Oryzias latipes: one gene and its partner. The protein of the gene in region 2 interacts with the protein of the main gene of each other region in a pairwise test. Links are inferred from orthologs where the notes say so. Each region holds a gene or a part of one and is shown on either strand. Other genes may lie near its edges.

What was found.
Region 1: the proteins of dnpep (region 2) and mpp1 interact in binary tests that used the Homo sapiens proteins (3 or more experiments, as listed by UniProt). The two-hybrid records come from large-scale screens. The link is inferred for Oryzias latipes from reciprocal best matches to the Homo sapiens genes DNPEP and MPP1.

What each region holds. Positions count from the first base shown.
Region 1 is NC_019872.2:19,054,511-19,070,290, reverse strand, and holds the start of mpp1 (55 kDa erythrocyte membrane protein), read left to right. Parts: upstream 1-5,644; 5' UTR 5,645-5,878; coding exon 5,879-6,001; intron 6,002-9,527; coding exon 9,528-9,656; intron 9,657-9,728; coding exon 9,729-9,807; intron 9,808-9,893; coding exon 9,894-9,979; intron 9,980-10,061; coding exon 10,062-10,130; intron 10,131-15,780. Other genes in the region: tmlhe (trimethyllysine dioxygenase, mitochondrial), read right to left, coding at 434-610, 691-833, 1,076-1,155, 3,097-3,114. UniProt on the Homo sapiens protein: Essential regulator of neutrophil polarity. Regulates neutrophil polarization by regulating AKT1 phosphorylation through a mechanism that is independent of PIK3CG activity.
Region 2 is NC_019860.2:11,517,025-11,532,590, reverse strand, and holds dnpep (aspartyl aminopeptidase), read right to left. Parts: upstream 9,645-15,566; 5' UTR 9,519-9,644; coding exon 9,513-9,518; exon of another isoform or gene 9,398-9,512; intron 9,377-9,397; exon of another isoform or gene 9,355-9,376; intron 9,158-9,354; coding exon 9,067-9,157; intron 8,408-9,066; coding exon 8,319-8,407; intron 8,210-8,318; coding exon 8,096-8,209; intron 7,774-8,095; coding exon 7,648-7,773; intron 7,530-7,647; coding exon 7,405-7,529; intron 7,324-7,404; coding exon 7,239-7,323; intron 6,995-7,238; coding exon 6,887-6,994; intron 5,441-6,886; coding exon 5,363-5,440; intron 5,281-5,362; coding exon 5,200-5,280; intron 5,123-5,199; coding exon 4,962-5,122; intron 4,816-4,961; coding exon 4,776-4,815; intron 4,696-4,775; coding exon 4,594-4,695; intron 3,971-4,593; coding exon 3,803-3,970; intron 3,399-3,802; coding exon 3,348-3,398; 3' UTR 3,228-3,347; downstream 1-3,227. Other genes in the region: receptor-type tyrosine-protein phosphatase-like N, read right to left, coding at 315-396.

The DNA of each region.
Region 1 (15,780 bases), on a different chromosome or scaffold from region 2:
TAAAAGCATCCTCACAGGACAGGGCAAAGACCACAGCTCACTCAGGTACTGCTAGTAGTGGTTGATGTTCAGGCACATGTGGTTAATAAAACCAAACATGCAAAAAATAGGCCCCATTGCAGCAAACAAATTTAATCAACCAAAGTTTTTGCATTAGAAAAAAAAACTACATTTTAGCAGTAATAATAGTTTTCATACACACTGGATCAGTTTAATTATTATTTGGTGAAAATTTGTGAATTCAGAGTCATGGCTCCATCTGAATGATGGTCTTTTTGTTTTATTTTGTACGGAGCCCGTAAGTACGGTGCCTGAAAAGGGACATAAAAAACTTTTTTTTACCCTCAAGTGCTAGTGCCACGAGAAAGAATGTTATTTGTTCTTTTGTTTACTTCTTCGTTCCTTTAAATGCTGGATCTCCTGCTGTACTCACAGGTCAGGACGACATGCCCTTCCTCGATCCGGCTGCTTTCTGGGCGCACGCGCAGGTCTATCTCCGCGGTGTCCAGGCTCCTCTGGTTGGTGGCGGGGTTGTAGGAGCTCGCGGAGCGGCAGTGGTCCCGCAGCCACACGTAGTTAAAACGCATCGGCGTGTCTCCATACTTGAGTTCTGTGGACGTGACGCGTTTTTGGAGTGAGAGCGTTTCTGGCGGAGCAGAAGCGGTGTGTGGAAACCCCCAACTCACTCACCGAGGCAGTCGTCGAGGACACGCAAACTTGCAGCGCGAGCGTCGGCGCACGCGCGGACCTGCAGAACCCGGTGTCTCCACTGCAGCCGCGTGGCCGAGAGGGCGGGCAGCCGCCGAGCGTGACCCACCGCAGCCCTCAGTGTTCTGTTAAACATCCCAAAACTATTTGGATCGATAAATCAAACCAAATATCAGTAAACTAATACATTCGAATTCTAGGCGGCAAGTCGTGCAACAGACCGACAGCTCTCCGCTTTAGCGTATGTTCCAACCCAAGTGTAAAATTTACGGACGGCTTTATCTCCCTAAATATCTTCGTTTAACGAGAAAGTGGATGGTTAATAATTACATGAACAATGGATCTCATCTGTTGCCTCAATCTGTACCTGGATTTGATGTTTATTATAAACGGCTTAGAAGAGTTGACGCATGCGTTGTTCCTTTGTTCCAGTTTCCGGCTGGAGCACTAAAAAAAATACCAAATAGTTGACTTCTGTTATATTCGGATATTATGACGAAGTATTAGGTCCAGCATATAAGAAAAAAATATATAGATAAATATATTATGATAATTTCCTCAAATTGTATGTCAACAGTTGGCCATAATAAACATAGTGAATTTTGTCTTTGAAAAGTCACAATTTATTAAAATAAAGTTCATTTACAAAGGAAAAACAGATCCAGTAAAATTCTGGAGCATTGGGATATCCATGTTATTCATCTAAATTGCAACAGAAATTAAACAGGAAATGTTTGATTTTCTTTGTTGAAATATATTAAAAGATGCTTTTATTTTCACAAAACGAAGTCATTGAAGGGCTCAGTTGGTTAAGTGTGTGAGTGGAAACCAGGTTTCAATTCCCACAGAGCAAGATTAGCTTCATCCAGTGTGGGTCCTTGGGCAAGACCTGTTAACCACTACCCAACTATGTAGTTACAAGAGTCTTGATGAACTGCAGGGAAGGGCATTGTACATAGAAATCTCTACCAAACCACCTGTGAGACTAAGTAAAAGCTGAGCAATATGCTGAAAGGTGAACAACATTTAATTTTTTTTAAAAAGCACAACTTTTTCCTTGTAAAAGTACAACTTTTTGAAGCATAATCTTACGATTTATTCTCAAATTTATTTTTGTATATTTATTTTACACTACTACTGTACATACTCTCTTGTTGGGTAGTTTTAGTCAAAGGTTTTTGGTTAAATATAAGCGATGTGTACATTTATACTCATAAAATATATTTTTGTTCCAACTGGTAATAAAGATCAGAGGCATCCTCAAAGGTTGCTGTCCTATTATGTGAGACTTCTTAAAGAAATTGATTTTGATCTCAGGGGTTGAGCGGTCGACCTCTTATCAGAAGATTGAAAGTACGGTTCCTGCCTTGCCCACCCATGTGTCGAAGGGTCCTTGGGCAAGACATTGAACCCCACATTGCTCCTGGTGGTTATAGGTTGGCAACATTGTTCTGCAGCGGAGCCGCCATCAGTGTGTTAATATGTGTGTGTGGGTAAATGGGACTGTGACTGTAAAGCACTGTGGGCCACCAAGGAAGGTGGTAATGTGCTATAAAAGTCGGCTACACACCATTTACCATTTTAATATTTTTGTTAGTCTAATGTTTATCTTTGCATTATCTTAGAAATAGAAACAACAAAAAAGAATAAAACCAAAATTTGATTGCTTTAGGAACATGCATTTTCATCAATGCATCTAATTGGAATTTTTGTTATTATACCTTCCTGAAGGAGGAATTTGGTAAAAACACCTCAAAGAACCACCTTAAAGAAGAATGATATATCCTCAAAGATCCGGATGAACTTCTGTTGCTGCAGTACTGAGAACATTCTGTCAGGCACGGGAACTGCACTGTTTCAGTCCAGAAATCTCTGCAGAGGGTGGAGAAAACCAATGCATCTCAGGAATTCCACTTATACTCAAGAGAACATTTACAGTAAGCATTGACTCACCATGACACGCAAAATTATAAAACAGCTCTATCACGCTCCCAATAAGCTCCATATACCAGCGGGGTCCAAACAAAAAGATAAAGTGTGTGATGGTCTATCAAACCATTCAGCATGCATTTTTTAAGCCATTATAATAACATTCAATGCAAATAAACCATTTAATTAATATATATATATATATTTTTTTTTGCAATGGGATACTTTTTATTTTGTCACATAAACAGAAATATATCCACACAATTTTACCAAAATTACTTAGAATTTCTGATTTAAAAAAAAAACAGAATTCAAATGCAGAAATATTCTAATAATAAAATAACTCTGGGTTCATATAAAATGATACATATTCAAGAAACCATGAACAACTTTTAAAAAGTGCTGGAAGCCGCTAATCATTGATTTTATTGCAGGAGCCTGCAGTTCCAGTGGGAACACCGACTGGACTTTGGACATGCCTGCTCTATACCTCCTGCTGTCTGGGAGGGGCTATATGAGCCTCCAGAGCAAAAAAAAAAAAAAGAATTTTCCTCCACAGCTGTTTCTTTGCTGAACTCCATTCGGTCATACACACAATGCCTGAACACTTTTTCGCACACTGACATATTATTGTGTTGTAGTTTTTTTCTGTATATCACCCGTTCTGTTTTTAGTTTACACATTGAAGTTACTCATCACTATTAAATATCCTCCCTGTATCAAATGCATTGCACTCACCTTAGCAAAAAGCAGTGCGGTGAAGTTTTAAGACTTGTGGTTTTTGCCTCACAGCGAGAAGGCCCTGGTTCAAATCCCAGCTGTGACCTTTCTGTGTGCAGTTTGCGTGTTCTTCCCATGCATGAGTGGGTTTTTTTCTCTTACCCCGGCTTCCTCCCACAGTCCAAACATGCTTCATTGGTTAATTGGTTCCTCTAAAATGTCCCTATGTGTTCATGTGCGAGTGATAGTGTGCCCTGCGACCGACTGGCGACCTGTTCAGGGTGTACCCCAGCTTTGCCCATCAGTTTCTGGGACAGGCTCCAGCAACCTTGTCACCTCGAAAGGGATATAGGGTTAAGAAGACGGATAAAGTTTTATTAAGGATATTAAAGTTTTAGGTTTCTGCCTTGGTTTCTTGCCTTTTCGGTCCGTAAGACTAGTCACAATATTCAGCAATCAATATTTGCATTTCGTTTAACCTGTTTGGTTACATAGCTGCCGGTGAATATGAAATGTCGGGCTGCCAATTTAACGTTGACAGAAGAAACCGTTCAGTGGGGCTGGACCCAACATTAAATCATTTTGACAGACAAGCACTAGACACTAATGCTGATTTATGATTTTTTTTTCTCCCCCCATCTTAACAAGGATAGGAAGGGTATTACAAAATATCCTCACAGTTTAATAGCTTGTCAATCTTTAAAAATGGTAACACACATCCAATGCTTCAGACTAACAAAATTATAAAACACTTTCTGAGGAGGCAAACCCTACAATCAGATTAAATCCCAAATATCTTTGTTTTGTTGGATTTGAAAAGTCATGGAACGAAAAATGATTTATTTACTCGGAAAACTACAGATTGGAAGGGGGGGGGGGGTTGAAAAGGTAATGAGCAATTCTAAAGATTTCTGAGAAGGAAAATTCTGAATTGCTCATCATCCTCTCTTTTCCCCCCATCCTCTGTAGAAAACCTACTATAGAAAGAGTTTTAGTCACATCTTTACACATAATAGTAAAATGTTCTTAGCAAAAAAGTGTTTGAATGTAAATCAATTCAGCTATCAAGTTGTGAAGAGGAAGCTAAACATTTAGTCATGACAATCAATTGAGCAGGGCTTCGAAATATCTGAAGTGATGGGATTATTTCCTTCTATTCACACCTTCTATCAAGCTTTTGGATAGCTTTCATTACTTCCGGGCCATATGGGCTACCCTGTAGGGCTGAATGGGATATCATAAATGATGCATTTAACACCTGGACAATTCATGTCCTCCTTTCTTTGCAGTAACTTCAGGTCTTCCCTTGTGGTATCCTAGGCACTTTAACATTGGGAGTTGGGTCATCTAGACCCACTAGACAGTGCTCTGAACCTTTTTTCTTCAGTGATTTGTGATCTTCTCTGGTGTCCATGGATTACATGACATCCTCTCCACTTTTATTCACCTGTGTCAAGCTAGGGATAGCACGTCAATGTAAGGGCCGGGTCATCTGGACCCAACAGGATAGCACAAGGGTTAAAGAAAACTGTCATTTAACTCAGGATATGTCGTCAATCAGTCTTTTGAACATTTTGTTCCATTCACGTGTCCAAAAATAAAATAAAAAACCTGATTTGGGCACAACTTCACAAAATTCACATTTTATTGACTACAATTTTTGAAATTATTGTTAAATCATTTCTTCGTAAATTCAAATCCTCCCACGCACACTCTCGGGTGATAGTGCGGGTGACTGGGTTGTTTTGCTTCCCTGTCTGCGGATTGAACAGCCCCCTCTGACAATGCTGCGGTAATGTTGCGTTCAAGGTTCCCCGAACAGTTTTTAAATTAGGGAGTTGGTCAAACGGCCCCTTTCCTTTAACGTAATTTGAACCGTAGATTTTGAAAATGCATCGACAGCAAAAGTCTCATACTTTTTTTTCAGAGCATTTCTTAAAATCCGGGATGGGGCAGTTGTTGTTTTGTTAAGAAAAAAACAAGGCTACATATTGTAATATGTGCTCTTAACATTACCGCAAATTGATTCTAATTAAATAACTCGAATTTTTGTTGTTTTTGTTGAAAGTTTTGAAAAAACAAAAAGCACAACAACAAAAAATATGTGTAAAATATCCTTGATTAATTTGCAGGAAGGAAACATAAGAAACACAATAATAACATAAAGGGGGGAATCCGTAAACATTGAAAATTTTCGAGAGCGTGTAAAGATTTTATTTAGTACTACAGCGTCGGAATGCAGAAATGTCCGAGTTCGCGTCATAGCTTGAATGGGTCATAGCCCCGCCCCTCCTGACCAGTCTCATGTTTTCATGCTTTGTCAGCGGTGCCCCGCGGTACATATCTCATGTTCTTCACTTGCTAACGATCCAAACTTTGGACTTTCATCTCCAGGAGTGACTGGTGTCATCGTGGAGACTCGTTATCAGCTGTTTCATCAAGTATCTGGCGGACCTTGAACGGGGGGGGGGGGAGGCAGACCGGGTTCACAGTTGTTTTCTTCTTGCTAACTCTGTGCGCGATGACGTTAAAATACAATAAAACCGAGCCCGTGCTGATACAGGAGCCGGTGGCCAGCATCCGGACAGCCCTTTCTGATCTCTACCTGGAGCAGCTCCTTCAGAACAAACCGAAGGTGGACAAGGTGAGCTTTCTGTCGGGTTTCCGCCGTGTTTGTTTTCGTTTTTCATGGCTTGCTCGTGTGCTTCCGGGAAGCAGATAAAACGGGCTACAAAATTGTGCGCAACATCCCAGGATATAAAAATAGACCCCCTGAGAAGTTCCGTTGCGCAAACTGGTGCAGGTCAGCTTTTTGCAGTCTCAAAAAAATGACGTGGGCGCTTCCCAGACACTGAGTTGACAATTTCACTTCGTCTTTTCCTCACATGTGAACGTGGTCCAACAGGGTGGTGTTGTGGGGAGAAATGATCCCCTTCTCAAAGTTGATCACGAATCCTCGGGACGTTTGAGTCACATTGATCTGTGGAGCCGCATCTGCAGTTTTTCCCTCATCAGGATTTGCTTGTTTCCTAATCTGTTGGTGGGATTAGAAAAAAAAAATCTGTTTTGAACTTTAAATCTGGTGGAAAGTTCCACAAAAAGGATTAAAAAGGTACATCGGCTACAAATTAAAGCAGGATTTTTCATGACGAGGGCAACTTTTCTTTTGTTCTGCAAATCTCTGCTTTTGAAAAGTCAGCATTCAGACTGTTCTAGGGACAGAAAAGACGGAAAGCACTTCCCCTGATATCAGCAGTTTGCAAGTGTGTAACCTGAAGTTGCAGTCACACTTGTGAGGTAGCACTGATTGCAAATCAGTTTATCCTACTTTAGTCTGTAAAAGACACAATCATGTTGTTGTTGTTCTTGTTTTTTCTTTTTGTATAGTGGCTCAAAATTTAAGTTACAAGTTAGTCTGATGTGCCTCCCCAGGCTCCATCTGAGGTTTGTTTTGCAGCCTTGAGCTCTGATCCTCTGATCTTCACTTGCACTACAGGCTTCAACTGTCCTTTGACCTACATAGACTTAAATGGAGACTGTTTAGGTCTTAACTAGTCCTAAACATACTTTCAAGTCACATCTGGTTACTCCAGCTGACTGAGATCTAAGGTGTCTCTTGGATCTGAGGTTTTCTTTGTAAAACAGACACAATAAATATATTAATAAATATATTTTATTTGGAGTGTTTTGGGAGTTTTAAATGTTACTTATGAAGCGCTCGTGACTCCAAAAAAAAAAAAGAAGGCTGGGCATCACCAGACAGATCAGTAGAAGATGGAATGTTGCCGTTGAACATCAACAAGCCTTAAGGCCAAGTTTGTTCTGAGAATTTGGACTCTTTTGACTCGGGTTATCTTGATTTCTTATTGACTCAGTTCTAAATAGAGAGGACACCACAACACCCCCACCGTGGGTCATGCTTTCTGAATGGACTGTTTGGTCCAGAGCAGAGCATGCTGGGATTGCTTGCTTGCCTTAAAAGTGGGAAAGCTAACTTGTACTTCAGAGCAAAGAAGTTGAGTTGCAAGTGGATCCTGGTGTGGTTCACTTCAGTGTGAAATGCAGATGGGCTGTGCAAGGAATCGGTGAGGAGAAGAACGGGCAAACGTTAACATTTCATTGCCGAAAAACAGAAACACACAAATCCAACGGCAAAAGCTTTTAAAAATGTCACGTAAACATGATCTAAACGTGCATATATGTGAGATTTTATAGTAACTGAGTGATGATTGGTGACAGTTTGGTTCACCCTCATGACTGCAGTGAGAACACCAACTCAACATTTTCTAAACCAAATGTGTCAAAATTACAATGTTTCCTTGTTTATCATAGGGGTTATGTTCTAAAAATAACCCACAATAGGTAAAATGTACAGATGATTTGCGGCTGTAAAACCCCTCAATACACACTTTATACACTTTTCTCAGGCATGAATATTTTCCCACTTTCCTCTGTTGTTTAAACACTCAAAGTTCCAACCTTCATAGAAAAACACACCCGGTTTTAAATAATAACAACAGAAATCTTCTCCCGATAAGAGATTTGTGTAGATTTATACAGGAGACACGTCACAGAGGAGACTGATTGACGAGGTCTATAGCCAATCAGGATGCAGAACACAGCTTGTTGTAAAAAAAACAACATCCAAAATTGCACTGCAAGAGGTGAAGCGTGATATGACGAGGGACCCCTGTATCGTAACTGAATGATGACTAGTGACAGTTTGGTCCACCCTTATGATTGCAATGTCAAACCCACTTGACTTAACATTTTCTTCTCATTTATACCAATTTTTTTCCTAACTATCCTGTTCTGAAAGATTCCTTACTGACGCACATAAGACGACTACTATTTTATTTCCTACAATAAGAGAGAGATCTGATTGGTCTGAAAAAAAATCAAAAATTTCGAATTTTATTTTGTAAATCACATAAGTCCTTTTTTTTCTAATGTCAGGTAGAGGTGTGCATCTCTCTTAATGTAGCTTTTTTCTCCTCTGGGCGTCATTAGGAACCCTGTTTAGTACTTTGTTTTTCCCATCCAGAAATCCGATTTCCTCCTCTCAAATGACTTCCTGCTTCCACTCGTCCCTGCAGGGCAGTACACGTCAAACTGTTCATCAAACCTATCAGTCCTCTAAATAGAATAAATCAAAGAGTGCTGTTGTCTGTAGAGTTCTCTTGGCTCCCTGATGAAACCAAACAGCGTGAGTTAATCAGTCAAGCAGATTTCTCTTATCCAACCATTCTCCTCTGCTTAACGGTTGTCAGGAGGGAAACCTCCACTCTTCTGAAGTGGATAAACATCCGTCTTTTCCTGTGATTTGGACTGGACTCGTATAAATTACAGCTCTTGTGGACAAACTTATGGACTCACAAAAATAAATCTCTTATTCCGTAATACATGTTTAGGGGCTGACTTCCTCCTTTCAGGGGTGCATCTCCTCTTGTGCTTGTACAAAACTCTGACATCTGTCGCAGGGAAATTTCAAGTTTCATGAAAAGTTTACAAAAAAATAACACCCCCCCCACCCCCAACCTGGACAGCTGACTTTATAGGTGATGTTTATCGGTTTATTATTGCGTTGGAGCTGGAGGGCAGATAACGGCTTTTTGCTGAGGCAGCGCTGATGTGTCATTTTAATGCAGAAGCTGATGTGCTGATGCAGGTTATTTGACAATTTTGGTGATTCATTTATAAACTCTTTCATATCCACCGCATTCCACTCATTCCCACTCCTAAGCCCTGTCTTATCAAAGAACACTAAGGCAGCTCTTTGGTCTCATTTAAAGGCTTTCCTCTGATTCAGAGGAAGTCGCAGAAATACAAGTGTCCGTATTTCTGTTCCCAAAACGTCTGAACACTGCTGTGAGATTTTCCGAGGAGGCTCGGTCTTTCTTAGGTGGCTGCTTTCGCCCTGCGTAGGTCCTGCTGATGGTCTCCATGACCACATGAACCTGTTGGATCAGATGACTGCACGTGGTTAATAAAGCGTGAGAAACGTTGGGTTAATTTTCAACCGCCAACCGACATGGAAGCTGCAAATAAAGCACAGCTGTTGGCACACGCCAGCAGAAACTCTCTGCGCTTATTAGAAATATTGCAGAGATTAATGATCTGTCCAGATTAACTAGGGAGGGGTCTTTTTCCTCCCTTTTCTCTCCGTACAGGCAGCGATGCAGACCTTTGAGAGCAAGGGGGCCGAGGTTTACACCAACGGTTGCGCTGGACACACGAACGGCACGGAGCTGACCAGGATGAAGGAAGTGGTTTTTGAGAAAAGCGCCTCAGAGCCGATGGTATTTGACCTCCTCTGCAGACACAGAGTGGGTGTGGAGTGGAGCTGCTGATGGTGTGGTGTTTGTGTGCAGGGCGTCACTCTGAAATTCAACGACAAACAGCGGTGCACCGTGGCCAGAATACTGCACGGAGGGATGATCCACAAGCAAGGTATTGTGGGAAAACCAGAGGATTCCCAAGAATGAAAGCGCGCTCATGACAGGAGCTGATTTGCCCTTTTTGCGTTTTTCCTGCAGGGTCTCTACACGAAGGAGACGAAATCGCAGAAATTAATGGCAACAGTGTTGCGAACCAAAGCGTAGACCAGCTCCAAAAGATTCTAGTAAATTTCAAATCTGGTCACCTGTTTGGATATTTTTTGTCTGCTTAATAGAAAATCTTTAATTCAATGCTTCTTTACGCAGAAAGAAACAAATGGAGTCGTGACGATGAAGATTATCCCCAAAATGCAAAATCGCTCCAGGATCTGTCAGGTGAGGACGAATGGGGGACGCATGGCTTTGAGTTTGGGGCGCAGAAAGTGTTTCTGTTGGAAGGAATCCGAACATTTTCCCTTTTAAACTTCAGTTTATATGTAAGGGGAAAAAAACCATTAAGCTTTGTAAGTTAAGGTATTTTTTAAGGTTTAAAATGAACATATTTCGAGCTTTTGTGCTACTAAAGACCGCTGTCTACAGTACCACAGATTTGTAAACCCTTTAAAATCAAAGCTTTAGCTCCAGTGTTTACATCCTCTCGACGACTGTAACCCGTCAACTGTTTACGCAATTTGGGTAATTCCAGTGAATTCTGAAGCAGAGGAACTTGCTCTTGCGCTGATATGCTACACCTTATGGATGTGTTAACGCGATCAACGTAGATCAGCTGACCCTGTCGCAAAGTGTTGCCTAGCGGTGCAAACAATATGAAAAGCCGCTGTTGTTGTGGGAATTGTTGTTGTGGGAATTGGGGTGAAGGTTGAGGAGTTACAGTAGGTCAAAGAGCGTACGCTATTTAGTTGTCTCTGGCGACATCTGCGGTAATTAAAGGGTTAAAAGCAGCCAGTTTGAGCGGATTCGGCCATCTCATACTCTCTGATCCAAGCATCCTTCCTCATCCAACGTGGTCTTTTGACATCCTTCTCATCTTGTATCTCAGTTGAAGGCACAAACTGTTTTTGTTATTTTTTTATTTGATTTATTTTTACAATGGGTTGATGTTGCACAAGTATTGCACAAATTCTGCAGTTGAGTGACTGGTGAGTACTCGCACCAGTGAAGTTTATGCTGGGATCACAGTCACCAGTATGAGGGGCCGTACAAAACGTATTTCATTCTGAACCACTCACAGACCACACAAACATATATATTCACTTTCATCCACATACATTCACTCTCGCATACATACATTCTAATAACATGCGTCTAATAACGAACTTTCTTCAACGTCAATGTGAGTTCACCATTTGAACGTCGGATTGACATTTTTATCAGACGTCAAACGGAGCTGCAGGTCCAGCAGTTTTGCTTCTGTCTGTCTGTCAAAAACCCAGTCCTGGATGTCTATAGGCCTACAATGTGTCCACTATTTTATGTCCAACAATGACCTCATTTGATGTCCATTTTAGTTTAACAAAAATGCCAGATAGACATTTTAATGACCCATAACAGGAACATGCGGGACCAGGGCAGGATTTGAATTTATTTAATTTTTTTACATTTTCATGTACTGTTTATTTTATCTTCTTATAATGTAACGATTGACTGATATGTGGTAGAAAATTATTATCTAAAAATTATTTTATTTTTATTTATTTATTGAGACTCAGAATTTATTTCCCCATTTTCACTGCAGGCGAGTTATGCGTCAGTCATTTATGCTTAACTACGTAGTCAACTCCACTCTTGCTAAAACGGCCCGTCTGATCCGACCGTGCAGTTTAGGGTCTGACTCTGAACCGTAGACGTACATATGACTGGACGGAGCATCTCTGACGTCACCCTTTGACTTCTACAGTCCCCTGCTTGAAGCCTAAATTGCCAGCTCGCGGGCGCAGCTGGCTGGAGTTAACTCCGCCCATCTGGGACGTCCCAAATCTGGTGAAAAGAGGCAGGACTGAAGGAAGTTGTTTTTTTTCCCCACGCCCACGGTTTATGCCAATCCGCGATCCGCTTTAGCTATAGTCTCCGACTCGCCAATGCTGAAGTGGACCAACGTTTACATCATGAATCGTTATCAGTAAGTACTTGGTGTTTTACTCAGAATATGCAAATCTTTTACTGTATAGCAGTGCAAGATTTAGACAGCAATAAAAACATATTTTCATGTGTTTGAACAGCCGGCTCTAACACATAACACGTTCAAATATGTTATTTCTGTGGTCCTAATATGTAATATCAAAATATACTATGTTATTGTACCCTTTATATATGCAGTTTTTAAACGATACATGAAAACAGTGATAGATTAAGGTGTAAAACGTCTTAAAAGTAAGGAGTTTTTTTTTTCCCCCTTAGTTGAGCTGAATATATTATCATCAACGTCTTAAGACTCGAGCTAATATTTGACTTAACCCTCTACACACCGTCACAGGGCTCCAGTTAAGCACAATGCTGCTCTGCTGCTGACAATCCAATAGAGCGGACTTAAACATTTTTTATTTTCTGGCCTACAAGGAAGAGCAGCTTCTGATTTTCTCACTGCTGAGGATGTGAATGGGCGATGTCAGGAGCCTGGAACTGGTCACCAGGACAAAAGAGGACGTCCAGTAGCTTTGCGGTGCTCAGCCCTGATTTCCCCTTTTTTATTTTTTTTATTTTTTTTACATTTCTTTCTGAATTTTTGTTTTCTTTGGGTAGAAATGTACTTTAGGATGATTTATTAGGGACTTCAAATGTCAAAAACAGTTAGTGATGTGATAGATGATGCTTTGTAACCATTACATTGTTCACAAAAAGCTTTTTTCTCTTTTATTAATTATAAATTTGAAATATTTTTTACTCGACATGATTGAAAATAATTTCATCACACCTTTGCTCTGCGGCACACAGCCATCGTGTCAGGTGATTGCTAAAAAAGGTCCCTACTTTCTTTCAATGAAGGATAAGATGTACTGAATTGTCAGTGGTCAATGGCCATGACGTTTTGAATAATTGAATCTGTTTCAAAAAGAAATAAATGTTCAACAGACTTGACTTTGACCCAGATTACCTTTTGCTTTTCTTGCATATTGAAACAAACTGAATCAACAGAGGTGACTGGTCACTCAAATATATAAAACTTACTTTTTATTGAATCACCCTTCAGCAGGATTTCTCTACAAATGTAACAATTAAACATTGTTCTGCATTAAACTTGTAAATGTCGGATTGTCTTGGTTTATAAGTCGACTCAACACAACACGACACGTACCTGGAGAGGAACATACGAGACAAACGTGAAATTGAAATCACAAAACAATAAGTAAAAAAACTAAACATGTATTAATTGATTGCTTAAATTAAATTATATGTTCCTGTTGGAGTAGACTGAACTATGTTTTCATAGTTTTACTTCAAAAATCTGTGTGATGTCACTTGCTTTATGAGATAATTAAATATGAATTGAAGCAAATGATTAAATATATTAATGTAAAGACATTCAGCCCCCGCTTGCTAGAGTTACCACTTGGTCTATTGATGTGAGCATGTGGTGGCCTCTCAGCCAATCACAGCACGTCATCATCTGCCACTATACTACTTCTTTCACAAACATATTTACTTATTTCACACACATGTATATACATATATATACTTCTTTTGCACATATTTCTTTCACATACAGCTCTCAAATTGTCCCAAAAATATTTAATCTAAAACAACACATTCGAATTAATCAATTAAATCGATTAATCGCCAAGCCCTACTAGATACAAATATCAATTCTGCCCATATTTGCAAAATATATCTGGGAACTTTAGATTTATTTCATGGACAAAGTTAAGCTTTGTGCAACATCTGTGCAGTCCCAGTTCAGTAAGATGAAACCCAGAATTTTCACTTGTTGGCAAATTTTCTGAGAAATGTGTCCAATTTTTTTGTTGTTGTTTTTTTGTGGACTGTTGAAACCCATACAGAAACAAGGCTGTATGATTCTCAAAGGCTAAAATCCAGAAAAAAAAATACACCAACAGCCCTGTGAAAATTCTGCAGCTTTTTACCTACAATTTATTCCAAAATTAAGGAAATTGTTAGATTTTAATGTGAACAAATACTAATAACCACGTTCAAGGCTGGGTTATTATATTTTTGCTACTACATCTTTGTTGGTCTTTGAAGGCTGCTGCTGATGCATCTGTTGAGCAAAAAAAAATTCAGAAGAGCTTTTGGTTCTTTGTCCAACACAAGCACAAAAACCCTTTACTTTTATTCATTTATAAAATGTGTTTTTCTTATTTAAAAGATAAATTGTACCTATATTTGATGAGAAATTGGACAAGCATGTATCCATTTTTTATCTATTTTATTCATAGAAATACATGAAAACAGTCTTTAACTGCTGAGTTTTTAACCTTTAAGTTATATTTGTTTCCATAGATATAAACTGTGAGAACACTGAATGCAATAAGAACTGGTGTTGCAGTTGGGTGAACATGAATGTGCTGCGTCTGATGCTTCCTGCAGCTTTTGCATTACAGAGCCCTGCAGGTCTGAGTGATGCCGATTGAAAGCCTGAGCGCTGCAGCCATTCCTCTTTTTAAGCCCTGAAAAAGTTCCTTTTTTTTTTTTTTTTCTACTGTGTCTTCAATCAAACCATCTTCCATCTCAGAGTGCATGCAGAGTGTGACCAATTCTTTTCTTAACACTTGTTTGAAATGATTTTGTTCAGGAGAATCTTCTGTTAGTGTTTGAGCATCCAAGGTGACTATAATACTCATTCAAATTTTAAGACCTATCACTTACTACCGGTAGTTTAGTTCAGTAGAAACACATTAGAGACGCGTTTCTCACTGCCATCTACTGTCCACTGTATTTGTATTTAGCACCTCCCCCCCATGGCAGCAAAATGGCTGCCTCTGATTAAAAAAAAAAGAAAAAAGAATATTAAAATACTAAAGATCTGTCGCCAAATTTTATTTCATATTTGTTTAGTAGAACGTCCTCTACCTCCCATGTGGTCAGTGATGGCAACCCGCCTAAAGCTTGTAGTCTGACCATCCTGTAGCTGTAGTTGATACACTGGTGATCCCGGCGGCTCCAGCACATGCCGTGCACGTTCACACGTGTTTGTGTGTTGGAGAGTCCTGGGAAAGCCACGAGTTCTACTAACTACTGCATTAATAGTAAAAAAAAAACAGAATGCAACCATTGAAATTATTTAAAAAAAGAAACCTTAACATATTTAAAGTAGAGCATTTTTAACAGCTGTGATAGTTTATTCTGTCATCTGCGATGTTAGTACTTTATGTTTGTATGTTTAGTATTTTATTACATGTAGAAGACAGAAAAATGTGTTTTATTGAAACATAGTTTTAACTTTTCATAACTTCTGTAAAATCCAGCCTTCTGTTGTCCGGCCTATTCTTCACGGATGGCGGAAACTTTTGAAGCTTCAAAAATCTTCAGTTTTAAAGTCTTTTAAGGTCTTAAAAAATGTTAACGTTTCAGAGACCTTTGAAGCTCCAAAAACTTTTAAACCTTTAAAGACCTTTGATGTTTTAAAAAACTTGTTAGGCTTCCAAAACATTTCGGGCATCAAAGATTTTTGAAGTTTTAAAAAGTTGTGAGGCTTCAAAAACTCTTGAAGCCTCAAAGATTTTTGAAGCCTTACAGACTTTTAAGGCTTCAGAAACCTAAAAGGGCTTAAAAATTCACTTTTGACTGATCATAGTTTTTTCAGCCTTCAAAACTATTTGTGGTATCAAAGCTCTCAATGAAATGGTGACGTATTTTCCTCCAGATAATGTTCTGTTTTGATTATTTTAGGATCAAACCCTACTGAGCATTGATTACATGGCGGGTCTCATCAGTAAAGTAGCGGGGACTCGAACGTGTTTGCTGCTGTTTGCAGATATGACCATATGAGAGCATAAAAATAAAAACAAGACCATCTGGAGAAAATGTTGCCATCATTCTGATGTAGGCGATTAAGGTAGAATAAAAATGC
Region 2 (15,566 bases):
CAGATGCGCTCAGAATATCTGCGTCAGTGACGCACTTGGCATCGATGTCAACAGATGAGGCAGAAAGGCTAAAGTCCGACAGAGTTGAGATCTCCTGCTTTCAACCAGACAGATAATCACTTAAAAAAATACTTTTTTTTTGCAACAAACAAAGCAAGAAAGCGCAGCTCGTGACAAAATCAGATAATCATGGGAAACGGAACACAAAGTGCTGAGAGGCGCAAACTCTGTTCCCTCAGCTCAGAAGTCGTGATTTACGCACCGCGCCTGGCTTCTTTCCTGACCGTTATCATCATCATCATTGGTGCTCTTACCGTGTCGGGCGGCAGCGTACAGCCGGCAGGAGGCGGTGAAGAGGAGGAGGAGGTACAGAGCCGCCCGGAGCCGCGCAGACATGGTAGGACATCCAACATCCACAGAGAAGAGGCGGGAACAGCTGCTGCGCCTCTACCAGCTCTCCATTTCTGAGAGCCCGCTCCTGCTGCTGCTGCTTCTGCTGAGGGGGAGGAGGAGAAGGAGGCTGCCAGACAGAGTGAAAGTGAAGCATGAGGTGAGGGGGAGATTAAGAGAAAACAGACCACAGGGGGCGCTGTTCTGCAGAACATGCACCTGAACACATTTGCATAGCAGTTTAGAAAAAAAAAATTCCAAATCGTTTAATCATTGGATTTTGAAGAAAAAGCGTTATCCTTAAAATACATATGTATGGTACAGTAAAAATAACAACAAAACAAAACAACAAAATAATCTTTAAAAAGTTCGAAAAATTGCATGTCAGAAGGCTATTACAACGTTAATCACAACATTAAGTTAGAGCCAGAGAATCAATGACAAGGATTAATAAAAAAGACACTAATATGATATGAATGTGTAAAAAAACACAAGCAATTTGAGCTACACTTTATACTTTTAAGAAATTTGTTGTGATTTTCTCATACTCAGACCAGATAGAGACCAGAGAGAGAGAGAGAGAGAGAGAAAGAGAGTGACGGACAGACAGATGGATAGAAGGAGGGATGGATGGATGGACGGACGGATAGAGAGAGATAAACTTGCAACAGACAAGGTAAAGACAAAACTAAATCTAATACAAACCAACAAAAACAGCACAATCAACACCTTTAAAATTGGGCAAAAAGTATTCATCAAGTCACAGTTTCTGCAAGTTGTCTCACCTAAAAAGACAGTGGAGGTCCGTAATGTTCATCATAGACACATTTCAATTGCGAGAAATAGAATGTGAATAAAGGACACGGTGCAGGCTCCGTACCACACGGATGCAGCTGGACAAGGCGCCATCGAGAGCATCCTGTCCAGCTGTTGACATGCATGATGCTGCAGGGCTATTATCAACATGTAGGCATGATGTACTTATAATTTGCTGTTGACATATTTTTTTTTAAACCTATATACAGTAAACTAGGACTAGGGGATTATAGTAATATAGATTTATACATTTCTGACTCAGTGACTGAACTTTACTTGCAGGTTTCCAATGGATTCAGACTTAAGGTAAAAGTGGGCCTTAGCAATAAAAAGAGCTAACCCAGATGAATCGCTGTGGTTACCAACTAGAAATACAGTCTGGCTATGTTCAAAACATTTCCTTATTATTATTATTTATTATTATTGACGTATTATTTATTTATTATTCTTATTGACTTACTATTGATTTATTATTACTTATTATTAATATTATTATTATTATTAATGAGTTATTGTTGGGCTTTTCTAAATAATTTATATTACATGTCAAAGAGGTTTAAAACTTCTAAAAGTTTAGAAATTATTTTAAAAAATTGTTTGTAATAATTTTTTAATTTGTAAGAAGTCCTGCAACCATGCATTTTTCATTAAAGTTTGAGCTTTTAAGGCTGACTGTTTCTCTTACTTTACAACAACAAATGATGCATTTATTAATCAATATCTATATCTATATCTATATATATCTATATATATCTATATATATATATATAGATATATATACACATATATATATTATAATAAATATTTTTTTATATTTATGGTCCTGACTGTATATGTATAAATATAAATATATATAAATTATATAAAAGCTACTCAGATACCACTAAAAGCTATTGAAAGCATTGTCATGTGGGCGCCGACGACCTCACCAAGATGGCGACGCGGTCGGCCACCTTTGGCCAGGCTTCCAATCGGGCGTTTCTCCTCTAGCGATATAACTCATTGTTTTTTGCACTCCTTGATACAAAATGTGTGGGGGGTGGGGGGACATTATCTTGAGACAAGAACCAGAGGATGGCCAAAAAGTAGCAAAACGGCAAGAAAATAAACTAGAGCTAAAACATCACATGGAAAAGAGTACAAGAAGATGCAATGGCATGACAGCAGAATCGCAAAATTACAACATAAAAGGAGACAAAAAGGAAACATAGACACCTTTCATAATCAGTGTCAGACTGTGCCATAACTGTGTAACTAAATACTTTAAAGCATTAATAAAGAAATTTTAGTATTATTTTAGTCCTTATGTGCTCTTATATCTAAGTAAATATAGTTGTTGAAATGAGACGTTAACAAGTAAAATAAAAATGCATTTAACCCTTGTGCTATCTTAGATGACCCCACCCTCACATTGACGTGTTCTCCCTACCATGACGAAGGTGGATAAAGGTGGAGAGATTTCATGTAATTCATGGACACCAGTGCAGATCATAAATCATTGAAGAAAAAAGGCTCAGAGCACTGTCTAGTGGGTCTAGATGACCCAACTCCCAATGTTAAAGTGCCTAGGATAGCACAAGGGTTACATGTGTTTCAGCTACTTGGATTAATAAACACACTCAGGCTCATGGGCCTTGAGTTCTCTTTTTTCTTAGATTAATTACCCTATTATTTTGTTTTATTGCTTCAATTTGCAAATAAAATAAACTAGAATGTTATATCAGTTTTGAAGGATTGTCACTTCAGACTGTTTCCCTCTAGATTAAAAAAAGAAAGTAACTTAAAATGTAATATAGAAGTCAAGTAATACCTTACAATCCTGAAACAGCAGTACTGTAAAGTACAGGATTACTTTGGTAAGTAATTTGTAAATTAGGAAGGAATACTGCCACCTCTTCCCAGCTGATACGATCTTTTATGATCATGTTTTAGATGTTTTTTTAAAATAATTGCTTTCCCTAAGAGTGTTCACAAGATAGTGACGCATCAAAGAAGCAATATTCACAAAAGAAAATCCACAGTTCAGGTTTCTTGAAGATTTTATTTTCCAAAAGAAAATATTTTTTTTGGCTTCCAAAATTGTTTTTTCTTCTCTGACGAGATCGTCGCGACCCTGAACACTTATGCGAGGCCTTCATGACCTAGTCCACCAACAGCTTGCTCCTGACAGCAGGGAACAACTCGAAGAATCCCTGCAGGTGGAGAAAATTTACATGGAAAATAAAAAAAAAATGGTCTGCAGAGTTCAGAGAGATTCAAGCTCTCATAAAAAGTATATTAGTATTATTTCAGACTTGATGGAAGCTCGTCAGGTCAATTTCACTTTGTTATATCAGAGACACTAACATTTTTTTTAAAGTTTGCAAACTCATTAAATAAGAAAGTAAAACACAAACCTTTTTTTTTTTTTAAAAAGCTGCATAATATCCCCCCCCCCCTTACCAAGAGGGAAAAACAACCCTGCAAAATACTGTAGAGGCTCAAAATTTAAGTTTTCTCTTTGTTGTTTTAAAAAAAAATCTTAGTCCCTCAGTTACTTTAATTTCAAAGCAAAACTTGAGTTGTTTCTCTGTGATTTGGTGAGAGTAGCACTTACCTTGAAGAGGGTGGTGCTTTGCAGCACGCTGGAGGTGCAGCACATCTCCCTGATGGAGTGCATGGAAAGTTGGGGGCCGCCAATGTCCACCACAGGGATGCCGAGTCGAGCGGCCAGGATGGGTCCGATGGTGGTTCCACAAGGACTGTCGTTACGGACCATCACATCCTGCAGCCAAAGGGAAAGCGAGAAGTCTGAAAGCTGGTATCTGTTAGAAGGGGGGGCTCTAGTGGTCATTCAGGGAAGTGTCGATTGTAGAAAGATTGAATCTGGACTTTAATCCATCCCAATCACAAAATATATATATATTTAAAAAAAAACATTACAGTAAATATAAAAAGGGTTAAAAAATCTTTGAATTAATTTTTTGGCAAGAAAAAAAAGTAGCAAAACTGTTGTGGAAAAAAAAGACAAAGCTTTTCAAATTTGTCAGTGACCACAAATTACCAAAAAATGCTATGAAACAGAACAAAAAAGACAATAAAAAACACACAAAACAGCTAAAAACTTTGCTTTTAGAAAGAAGAAACAAGATTTTTTAAAAAGTATTGCTTTTCAGAAGAAATTAAATTTCAAATTAAAGGATAAAGTTCTTTAATCTACAAACAAACTGTTTTTAGATAGTAAAGTAAAAAGCCTGTTTTACATTTTTAACAGAAGCTAAACAAATTACAATACAAAGTTTTTAAACCATTTACATCTCTTTGAATAAAAAAAAAACAATATTTTCAGTAATAAACATTTCTCTTAGAATTGTACCAAAGACATACAACCTATTTCTGCCAAAATACCTGCAGAGGCACGTCCACCTGGCTGGCCACTTCCCTGATAATGGCGGCGGTGACAGCTGTGGTGGCGTAGCGCTGATTGCTGTTAAACTTGATGACGGGGCCCTGAAGGAACGAAACTTGAGAACGTCAGGTAAACGCACGACTCGTTTTGTGTCATCATTTTTTTAAAGATCCAAGATTACCTTATGGAAAGACGGTCTATGGTTTTCTTCATGCTTCTCCCTGAAAGAAAAGATCCAAACTTAAGCTGCTAAAGGACATTAATAATTCAGTGGTTGTTGTTTTTTTTAGGTCAAACTGTTCAAACTCAGAAACCACTATAGGTTGAGGCTTCAGAAAAAGCCCTCCTTCAGGTTTCGGGGACTCACTGGTAGTTGGGGTGAACGGCGTGTGCCATGTCAGCGCTGATCATGAAGGACAGCGGCGCCGCCTGCTGAAAGGAGGTGAGGTTGGAAGAGGAGGCGGCGAGGCGACTGAGGATCAGCTCCGTCAGGTGTGAGTGGGCGCCCTGAGCGCTCTCTGAGCCCACCTGCAGCAAACATGACCACACAGACTCACAATGGCACAGTTCATCTGAACATGACAGAGAGGACGGATGGAACTCACCTCCTCGTTGTCGTAAAGAGCGATCATGCGAATGTTTGGGTCTTTGTTCAGAGAGTCTCCAGAACATGATTCCACGAGACCCTGAGGAGACGAAAAGAAGGAGGCTGCAGCAGGAGGAGGACTGACAAAACATCTGAAGTAGGTTGCAGTCGCTGAGTCTGACCTGCAGGGCGCAGTAGCAGCTGTGCAGGTTGTCTAGCCGGGGAGAGAAGATGAACTCCTCGTACACGCCTCCTAAAACCTGCAAAGACACCTCTCATCATGAGAAAACTACATAAAAAAGAATGTGTTAACAGTTCAATTAAAACATTTCAATGAAGTCTTGATTCATTTTTGAAAATCTTCTTTTTTTGATGAAGAGAAACAGTTTAAACTTATTTCTGTTGCAAAGAAAAGTGGCTTTACTCCTATTTGCAACACTTTCCGTTAGTAGGATACTTTCTGTTAGGAGACACTACGTTAGTAAAATACGTTACGTTAGTAGGACGCGTGTCAAACTCAAGGCCCGGGGGGTCAAATGTGGTCCTCCATGTCATTTTCTGTGGCCCGTGAGAGCATAAAAGTTTTTTATTTCTTAAAATAAAAAATTAAAATTGGTGTGTACTTATTCATATCTAGGGGGAATTGGACTTGAAATATTGGCTATCTAAACATTAGGACTTAAACACTGTCCATATAACATAACCTGACAGAATCAAATTTAATAAGATTTCTGTTAGAGTAACAAGCAAACATATGTTTTCTATGCAACTGTAATTGTCACTTTAAAAAGTTATAATAATGTAAAAGTTATATCTGGTACTTTGAGGACAGCCACTATGCTGATGTGGCCCTCGGTGAAAATGAGTTTGACACCCCTGCTTTAGTAGGACACGCGTGGTCAGTAGGACATGTTAAATTAAATTAGTAGATCACTGTTTGTTACTTATTGTTTGTTTGTTACTATTTGTTTCAAATGAATAGACAACGTTAGTGGGACACTATTTGTCGGAAGGACACTATACGTTGGTAGGATGCTTCAAATTAACAGGCAACGTTAGTAGGACACTCTTCATTAGAAGGAGACTCTTCGTTAGTAAGACACTATTTGTTAGTATAACACTATTTGTTAGTATAACACTACGGATAATAAGATAGTAGAACAGTATTTGTTACTAGGTCACTATGGCGGTAGGACGCTTTACATCAAGAGACACCATGTTAGTTCTACACTATTTGTTAGAAGGACACTATAGGTTAGTCGGATACTATATGTCGGTAGGACACTATACATTGGTAGGACACTTCACATTAAGAGATATTACATTAGTAGGATGCTGTTTGTTAATAGTAATAGGCTAGTGGGACAATTTACTTTAGAATACACTCTGTAAGTAATACACTTTCATCAGTAGTACACGTTAACTTAGGAGAACATTTTATGTTAGTAGGACGCTTAATGTTGGTAGGATGCTTAACGGACGCCCTATGTTGGTAGGACACAATACATTGATAGGACACTACATGTTGGGACACCTTGCGTTAGTAGGAAGCTTAACGTTGGTAGGACACTATGTTGGTAGCTTCAGAATCTGTTTGGATCATGATAACTGCTTTACACAGTTGAAGAGTTGTAGTAATTGTAAGAAAATCATCATTGGAGCTGAAGCTCCAGGGTTAAAGTTCTTTGTCTTGGGGGGGAACTCACCGCAGGATGAGTGTCAGTCAGACACAACTCAAAGTCCATCAGAGCTTCTGCATCAACACCCAGCTCTGAACACAGCACCTTCACAAGCGCTGGATGATGTTTCTCCGCCTGAAGGGCAAAGATGATGAGGAAAGCCTTTCAAAACCTTTTCACCACCCACGAGTATATCTAAACAGGTATTTTAGCTTCAGTCAAAGTGATACCTGTATGCAAACAAAACTGAAACAACAGAAAAGAGAAGTTAAGATCCAAGGGGCGCTTCTGAAGCAAACAAGTGAAAGCTGGTATAGTAAGTGCGAATGCTACATCACAGATGAGCAAAACATAAGCCGGCGCGTGTCTCCGATTTTACCGTGCTGGAGGGTGAAGAAATATCTGCAGAGGATGACGATCCTGTCTCAAGCTCCTCCTGGACAGCGGTGGCGAGGATGGGCACACTGACACACAAGTCCAAAGAGTAAAAAAAAAAACAAAAACAAAAAATGCTTCTAAATGCTTTAAGCCTGCTTCATTCTCACAGGTGATTTTCCTTGTTTGGACCGAAGGAATCATTGATGTCGCGCTGGAGGTGGATGGCCAGGTGGGGGATCCTGAGCAGAGGCCTGGAAACGTGAACCAGGTGATGGACAAGCTTCCCCCCAGTCTATGTGGACAGAAAGAAAAAAAAAATGTTGCGTCTAAATATCAGACTTTCAACCAAAAAAAAAAGGTAAATTTGCTTAAAGAGTAAACATTTTTTTCCCATCAGCAGAATCTGGTACCTTGACCATAACCCGCCCAGCGACAGTGAGATCTCGATCAAACCAAGTGTTCCAGATGCCGCCTCCATAACACTCCACCCCCACCTGCAGACAACCCTGCTTTGTCCTTTTTGATCTCGGCTTTACCTGAAACACAAAAATAAAATACAATTAAAAACTAACAGTGTATTCAAATTACACCCTTTTTAAAATGTCTAAAACATAGTTATTCACACACAAACAAAAATATTGCTTTTTTTATAACACTGAAAGAAACTGTCTTTTTTTTTAAGCTTCATGTGATGTTATGGTCTGAGTACCCCGTCATACTGAAACAAGAACCTTGCTTTGCATCATGTGGGGTTTCTTGTTCCACTGTCAGAGATTGATGGTGATACAACCGGACTGATCTGCGGTGTAAAAATGAAACCAGCAGGCTGACGAGAGGAGGAGGCGGACAGGCTCTCACCCTGAGGCAGGGGCTGTCTGTGTGCGCTCCAATCATAGAGAACCCATTTCCAGGCTTGTATTGTCCCCCCACAGCGAAGGCGATCAGGCTGGAATAGTTCCTGGTCACAAAGTACTGCAGAGAATAAAAAGAAATATCATCTCTTTTTTTGTTTTTTGTTTTTACAGTCCTAAAGTCAATCCCCTTTCAGGGTTTGAAAAAAAGGAACAGAAATCCACCCCACTTTGCTGGCTGGTTTGATGTGCCATTGCTCCGTCTCCTTAAGCTCGATAAATCCGGCCTCCCGGAGGCGCCTTTTGCATTCCTCAACCACTGCAGAGGGGAAGAATAGGCAAAACTATTTTAAGATTCAACTGCAAAGTGTTTAAAAGGCTCAACTTACTCTGTACCTGTAGAGTTTTTAATCAAGCTTCTTATAACCCCCGATTTTACGTCAATTTACCTGAATTTCTTCACTAATAAAGCTCAGATGCATACATGCTCAGATTGACTACTTCATTTTGTAAAGGGGTGTGTACAACAAACAGATAGAATATAATACCGTCTGTCAGATATTTCTGTTCAGATATCTGACAGAAATGTCTGACAGAGACAGGGTTCCTGAGAAATTGTGATTAAAAAAATGACACAATATATGGTTGATCTTATCTCAAGTTCAAAGTCACCCATCAATCTTCCCTATATTACCACCAGCTCATGCGTATTCACACTGTGACATATTAGTGTTTTTAAATCTTTAATTATGTATAATTACCGCTATTAAACCTTAAGCTGTTTATTTAGTGTTGCCGAATTTAAGAACCCATAATTTAAATTAGAATTTAACCTCACGAAATGTGACCATATTGCATTCAAACACACGATTGAGGAACTGCATGTCTCTACTAGTCAAATACTGATTGAACAGAGTTTGGTTTGATGCTAACTCCAGCAGTCAATGCGTTAGTGAGGTTGTGTTTGTGTAAGTGTACCGTGATACGGAGACACTCCTCTGTTGACGAACTGCAGAAACTCCTTGGCGGCTGCCTGCACGGCCTCTTTGGAGCTCTTCATGATTGTAGACTGATGGGGAAACGGAAAGGAAAAGCTTAACCAGCTCAGCTGCTCAGCTCTGTTGCAACACTAAGCAAATCACATGGGACTATTCTAATTATAAAGCCTCCACCGACACGCTACGACAACACAATAGAAAACACTACGGATGAACATTTGACTGTCAGTAAAACATAAATAAAGTTGGAAAATTCGTTTTTTCCGACCTTTTGTCCGATAAAGGAAACACCGGCGTTCAGCTAATCTTACCTATCTCTTCTTCTCCTTGAGTATTATTCTAAAGGTCAAAGTTAACGCGATTCTCAACAAGAGAACCACACGTTCAGTCGGAGGTTCAAAACCAACCACTGTGTGAGGTGCTTACCTGCATTAACTGCACGTTCAAAGTCTAGTCTTTGGCTGCAGCGAGACAGGACTGAGTTAGCTACACATTAGCCAAGCTGACAGCAGCAAAGAGAGTAGCCCTTTCCATCTTTGAACCGTGAGCGTCATCAAGCGGCCAGGATGTGCAATGACAGTTTTAAAAGACCTCGCACTGTTATCTCAACGTTCCAATTATTTGCCACAATGTCAGTGTCAGCTTCTGCAATTAATTTGTTTTGTGCAATTCTTTTTTCATGTATCATGTATTTTATTTTATTTTTTGTGTATGTGTATTACTGAGTGGCGGAACCACAGAAAGCTTTTTGTTTTACCACAATGTAATTAAAGAAGTTCCATATGGTGGGAGATCAGTTGGTAAAGAGGAGGTCCAGCACAAGGGGAATCAGGGTTCAATACCCAGGGGCGCAGTGAGCTTCATCCAGTAAATCCTTAGGCAGCACACTTTGTGTCATTGCCTAATTATGTAGCTACAAGGGGGCCCAAGTCTTTTTTTTTTTTTTTTTTTTTCTTTTTTAACTTGTCCTGTCCAACAGCTAGGCAGACAGATGAGAGCTGAGGGCCTCTTGGGTTGGACATATTTTACTTTAACAAGAGAGGTTATTAATCTTCAGACAAACCAAAGGTATGTCTGAATAAACCCCTTTTGTAATTGAGGCCAAACTTTATTAATTTCAAACATGTCTGAAAATCTTTGGTGTTGGACCGGACGGAAAAGGAAAGAGGGGAAGAAGAGAGAGGGACGTTAGAGAGAGGGGGGGTAAGGGGTGATAATAGGAGGGGAAGGGGGATAAGACCATGAAGCAGCATAAAGCAGCAAGTTTACTGGTTGTTAATCATTATGGTAAGGTTCAAATGTAAAAAAAAAAAAACAAAAAAAAAAAAGGGCGGAGCCTGTCCACACACACACTCAAATGTTATAAACACACCTGTTAGTTGCAAAAATGTCCACCTGTCGACATGTACACAAAACAGATAGTGTTCACACGCATACTTATGCCTTAAAACCAACTAGTGTGAAATATTTCAGTCATTCAGTCTGTTGAGCTAACACCTGTGCTCAGGTGAGTGTTTATGTTCTTCTAAAATGGATGGTGGAACGTGAAAAGAAGGAGGGAGAGTGCCCAGCCATCCCCACCCCAAGACCCCCACCGCACCAGCAGCGGCAGCCGGAATCCCCCCAACGCCACACGGGAACCGGCAGGGAACAACCGCCGCCCGGGCGACCAAGCCCGCCACCCAGGCCAGGGCCAGCAGGGCCGCCGCAAGGCCCCCAGAGCCAGAGAGCAGGGAGGCACGGAGGGAAAGAGGGCGCCGCCCCAGCCCAACCAGGAGAGCAGCCCCCCCGCCGCGCCGGGAGAACCCAACGCAGGGCCCCACCGGAGAAGGACGCCCACAGCCCCAGACGAGCACCCCACCACCACCCAGGAGTTCCGGGCATCCCCCCGCCCCAACCCCAGGTACGAGCCAGGACCCCCCAAGGGAGACCCACTCCGCACTCCAGGCAGCCACCCGCCCGGCCCACGGTTGGTCCAGGGAGGAGCGAGGCAGGGGCCCGCCGCCCCCGCCCAGAAGGGGGGAACCCCGGGGAAAAAAGAGGGCCCACAAGGGGTGTTGTAAATATGGCCCGACCAGGCTCGGCCACAGTTGGAAATTTGGCGGGGCCCAGCACTCAGGAGCAAGGACCAGAACCCACCCCCCAGGGACACGAACACCCCCGGCTCAGATGTAATGTGAACCCCCCCACCGCGCGGAGAGAGCACCGCCGGGCCCAGGAAGCCGGCACCCCGGGGACACAGCCGCCGTTGCAAAGGGGCCCGTACCCCCCACCAGGGAAGAGGCAGGGGACAGATGGTCCTAGGTCCCACCTTCCTTGCAAAATGTGTGTGCGTGTATGTGTGTTTGAGAGAGTGTGTGTGTGCATGTGTGTGTGTTTATGTTGGGATGTATATATTGAGGGGGGAGGGGTGTGTGTACTAAGGGGGGTGCGGTTAAAATTGGCGGGTAGGGCACTAAGGGGACGTCTCCTGATTACTCACAGTGACGTCCCCTCACCCTCCCCACCAAGGGGCCCTAAATGTCTAAGGTGCGGTTAAAATTGGCGGGTAGGGTGCTAGGAGGACATCCGCTGCTTGCTGGCAGTGATGTCCAAGCACCCCCCCTACCAAGGGCCCTACATGTCTAAGGTGCAAATAAAACCGAAAGAGGGGGGGCCCACTCCATACGGCAACCACAGGAGGGGGGTCACTGCCTAGTAAACCCCCCCCCCCAAGGCTCATCGCAGGCTAAGCCCCCCACCCCCTCACCCTATTATGAGGTTATATGAGGAAGGGGGGAAGTTGGGGACAGATGATAGACTGTCCCCCGGTGGTCAAACAGCCGTCCCCCGCCCCCCCCCCAGCAAGGGGGCCAGGCCCACCCAGCCCCGGGGCCCCACCCCCGGAGGCGCAGACACCCCAGGCCCAGCACCACCACCCCCACACAGAGAGAGGGGAGCCAGAAAGCGCCGGCCCCCCCCGGAGCAAGCCCAGGCCCCCACCCCCAAACGCCGGCCCTAGAAGAGCTCTGGTCAGGCCTCGACGGGACCGAGGCAGCCAACCGGCCGGGGAAACCGCCGATGGCCTCAGCGGAGACCCCGACCCGTCAACCCCCCCTGCCCCGTACCAATAGTGCCCCCCCCCTCCCCGAAAATGCCCCCCCACAGGACAGGGCCGACAAGACCCCCACCCCACCCCACCCCCAGACCCCGCAGTCGAAGCGGATGACACCCAGAGCGACCGGGGGCCCCAAGAGGGTTGTCCCGTCCCGCCCCAGAGCCAGGGAAGGGCCGATCCCAGCCCCAGGTGTAGACGGGAAGCCCATCCAGCGCCGCTGGGCCCCCCCCCCGAGCAGCGCCCCCCGCCAACCCCCCCCAGCACAGGCAAAGGGACCACCCCCCCAAGCCAAGCCAGACCACCACCCCACCCCCCCACCACGCACCCCCACACCCAAGCCCAGAGGACCACGCAGCGCCCCAGGCCGCCCCACCCAGGCGCCGGACCCGACCCCCCGACCAACGGAGCCCCCACCCCCCCGGCCAGGCACCGGAGGCCCCGACCCCCACCCCGGCCCACGGCAGAAGGGCAAGGAGCAGCGACGACCATGCCCCCCCCACCCCCTAAGTCACGGAGTTAGCTATGGGAGACCAGAGAGACCGAATTCTTTCAAAGTTACTTGAACTTTGGGCTGACATTTTTTCCAAGCTGATATGATCAAGCAGCAGATTTCTGTGTTGACTTATATTTATATTTTTTTTGCTTTTCCAATTTATTAAAATAGTTTTTTTAGCAATGCAAAGAGTTATGAAAATGATAGATGCTAATCCTCCTTCTACATCGATGGCACTCATGTCACCAAGCACACAAAGTGACGGTGAAGCTGTGATTGAAACCTTAAGCCAGACTGATAGATCGGCACATACCTGCTGCCAGAGAGCCTGGACAGGCGTGCAGAACCATAGTGCATGCATGTAATTGTCGGGTAGATTACTGTCACAGTGCTGACAAATGTCTGAGTTACTGAGACCCATCTTGAACATCCTCTGTCCAGTGTAGTAAATTCTGTGAAGAGTTTTGAAATGGATTAGCTGCAGATTTGGATTTTTTGTCATTTTAAAGGTGTTTAGACAAAGTTCTGACCAAAAACTTTCATCTGTGCTGATGCTCAAATCCGCATCCCATTTTGTTGTCGGAAGTGAAATATTGTTATCTAAATTACATAAAAGTTTGTATATTTTGGAGAGAGTTTTATTCATTGAGAAATTGATCAGAGTGGTAACTACATCTGGTAGCTTTAAATCGTTGTCTCTGTATTTAAACTTTTTAGTAATAATTGATTTAAGTTGCTGATATTCCAAGAAGTTATATATTCCATGTTTGTCTTGAAGTTCCTGGGGAGTTATGAATCTTCTATTAATAATTATGTGCTCTAGTTGTTTTATGCCCCCTGCTTGCCAAGCTGGGAAGTGGATAATTTTTTTGTTTATGAGGATGTCTGGGTTGTTCCAGATGGGTGTCATTTTGCACGGTTGAATTGATGATTTTGATATTTTGAGAAATTCCCACCAGGCTGTTAAAGTGGCATTTATATTAATACTTTTGAAACAATCCTGTCTTTTAACTATTTGACTAATAAATGGAAGATCTGACAGGTTGATCTTTCCACATAACGCCTGTTCCAAGTCTAACCATGAGTTGGTTTCTGGATTATTTTTTAACCATTTTAAGATGTATTGTAATCTATTTGCAAGAAAGTAATTGTGGAAGTTAGGTAATTCTAATCCTCCACAGCTTTTTGCAGATTTTAAAGTTTTTAGACTAATTCTTGCAGGTTTATTGTTCCATAGAAAGCTTGATATGGATGAGTCTTGGACTCCCTGTGCCAGTCCCCAGCCCGGATAAAATACATAGTTGTGTCAGGAAACAGCATCCGGTGTGAAAATCTTTGTCAAACCATCTGTTCAAATGAGTGAAAGCTGATTCACTGACGTGACCCCAGAAGGGATAGGTGAACAACAGCGTATGCCAGGGGGATTGGGAAAAATAAAATGAACATTAACAATGTTGGATTAAAAGATTTTCTTCTTCTCTTATTGATGTATGTAATCTGTTAATGTAATTCGTCAAACATCTAATTTTGATTATTTGTGGATTAGTTTGACTGTGACTTTGTAATGTCATTTACATCGGAAGAATAAAGTCATCCATTGCAACAAACTAGTCCAGTTTCTTCAACCGCAAGAGCGATACAAATGATACACTAAAAATATATATATTGTACTGTGCTGCATTATGACTGTGATTTATTGAAAATGTAGTAAAAGGGAAAAAATAATTACATTGTCATTTTTAAATTCAATTAGTATGAATTTTGACATTTATGTGATAGTCCTACATAGTTTTATTTTTCAATTTCACTGATATTTCGGAAAATGTATGCTATTTGTCAAATTGGACAAGTTTCTGTGTCAAATAAGCTTCCTGATTAAATTACTTTTAATTTGTACAATCTTGATTAAAAACAGATTTTTTTGTTTTTTTTATTATGGAAAAATAAACCATTCAAATGACTTTTCTGTGTTTGAGGGGCAGGTCTCTTGATCATCTTATAGTTGAACCTCAGATCCACAAACAGTTTGGCTATCCCTTGTGCTATCCTAGGCACTTTAACATTGGGAGTGGGGTCATCTAGACCCACTAGACAGTGCTCTGAACATTTTTTCTTCAATGATTTGTGAACCTCACTGCTGTCCATGGATTACATGAAATCTTTCCACCTTTATCATGGTAGGGAGAACATGTCAATGTAAGGGTGGGGTCATCTAAGATATCACAAGGGTTATATTGAACAGTGGACCAGCTCTACACCCTCTTTAGGGTGCTGGAGGGTTCATGGGAGTTTAGTTATTCTGTTCATTTGTGTTTTGTAGATTGAAGAAACATCGGCCGTGTCTTCTATGGTGTCATATAAAGAGTTCTCTTGGAGCATGGTTATACCAACAGCATCTTGATTGGATAAAAGGTACCGGTAATGTGTTTACATTGATGGCACAACTCTTGATGTTTCTGCCATCAGGTAGTATAGAGGAGTGCGTTAATTTTTTTTCTGGAAATGATCAATGGTGTGTTCCTCCAACTCATCACTATGCTGAAAAATCCATAATGCAGGTAGTAAAACCGAAGAAAAACACACTTTTAGAGTACATGGGTTTCATTTGTTTTTAATAATACTGATCTGATCCTGCATCAGTCACACGGTTTAAAAATAACCTCTTTTATGTGATAAATGTGGAATTCGACAGTGTACTTAATTAAAAAAAAGGCCTGATTTTGAACCAAACAAAAAGGTTTAGATTTAAGATATTTTTTCCTCCTACTTAGCTGCTCAGTATTAAACAAGTCCAGGGGTTTAACAAATCAGAGTTTTCTGAAAACCAATGAACACATTGGTTTAGATAGAATTTAAACTTTTAATTGTTTCTAATGACATTTTAACAATA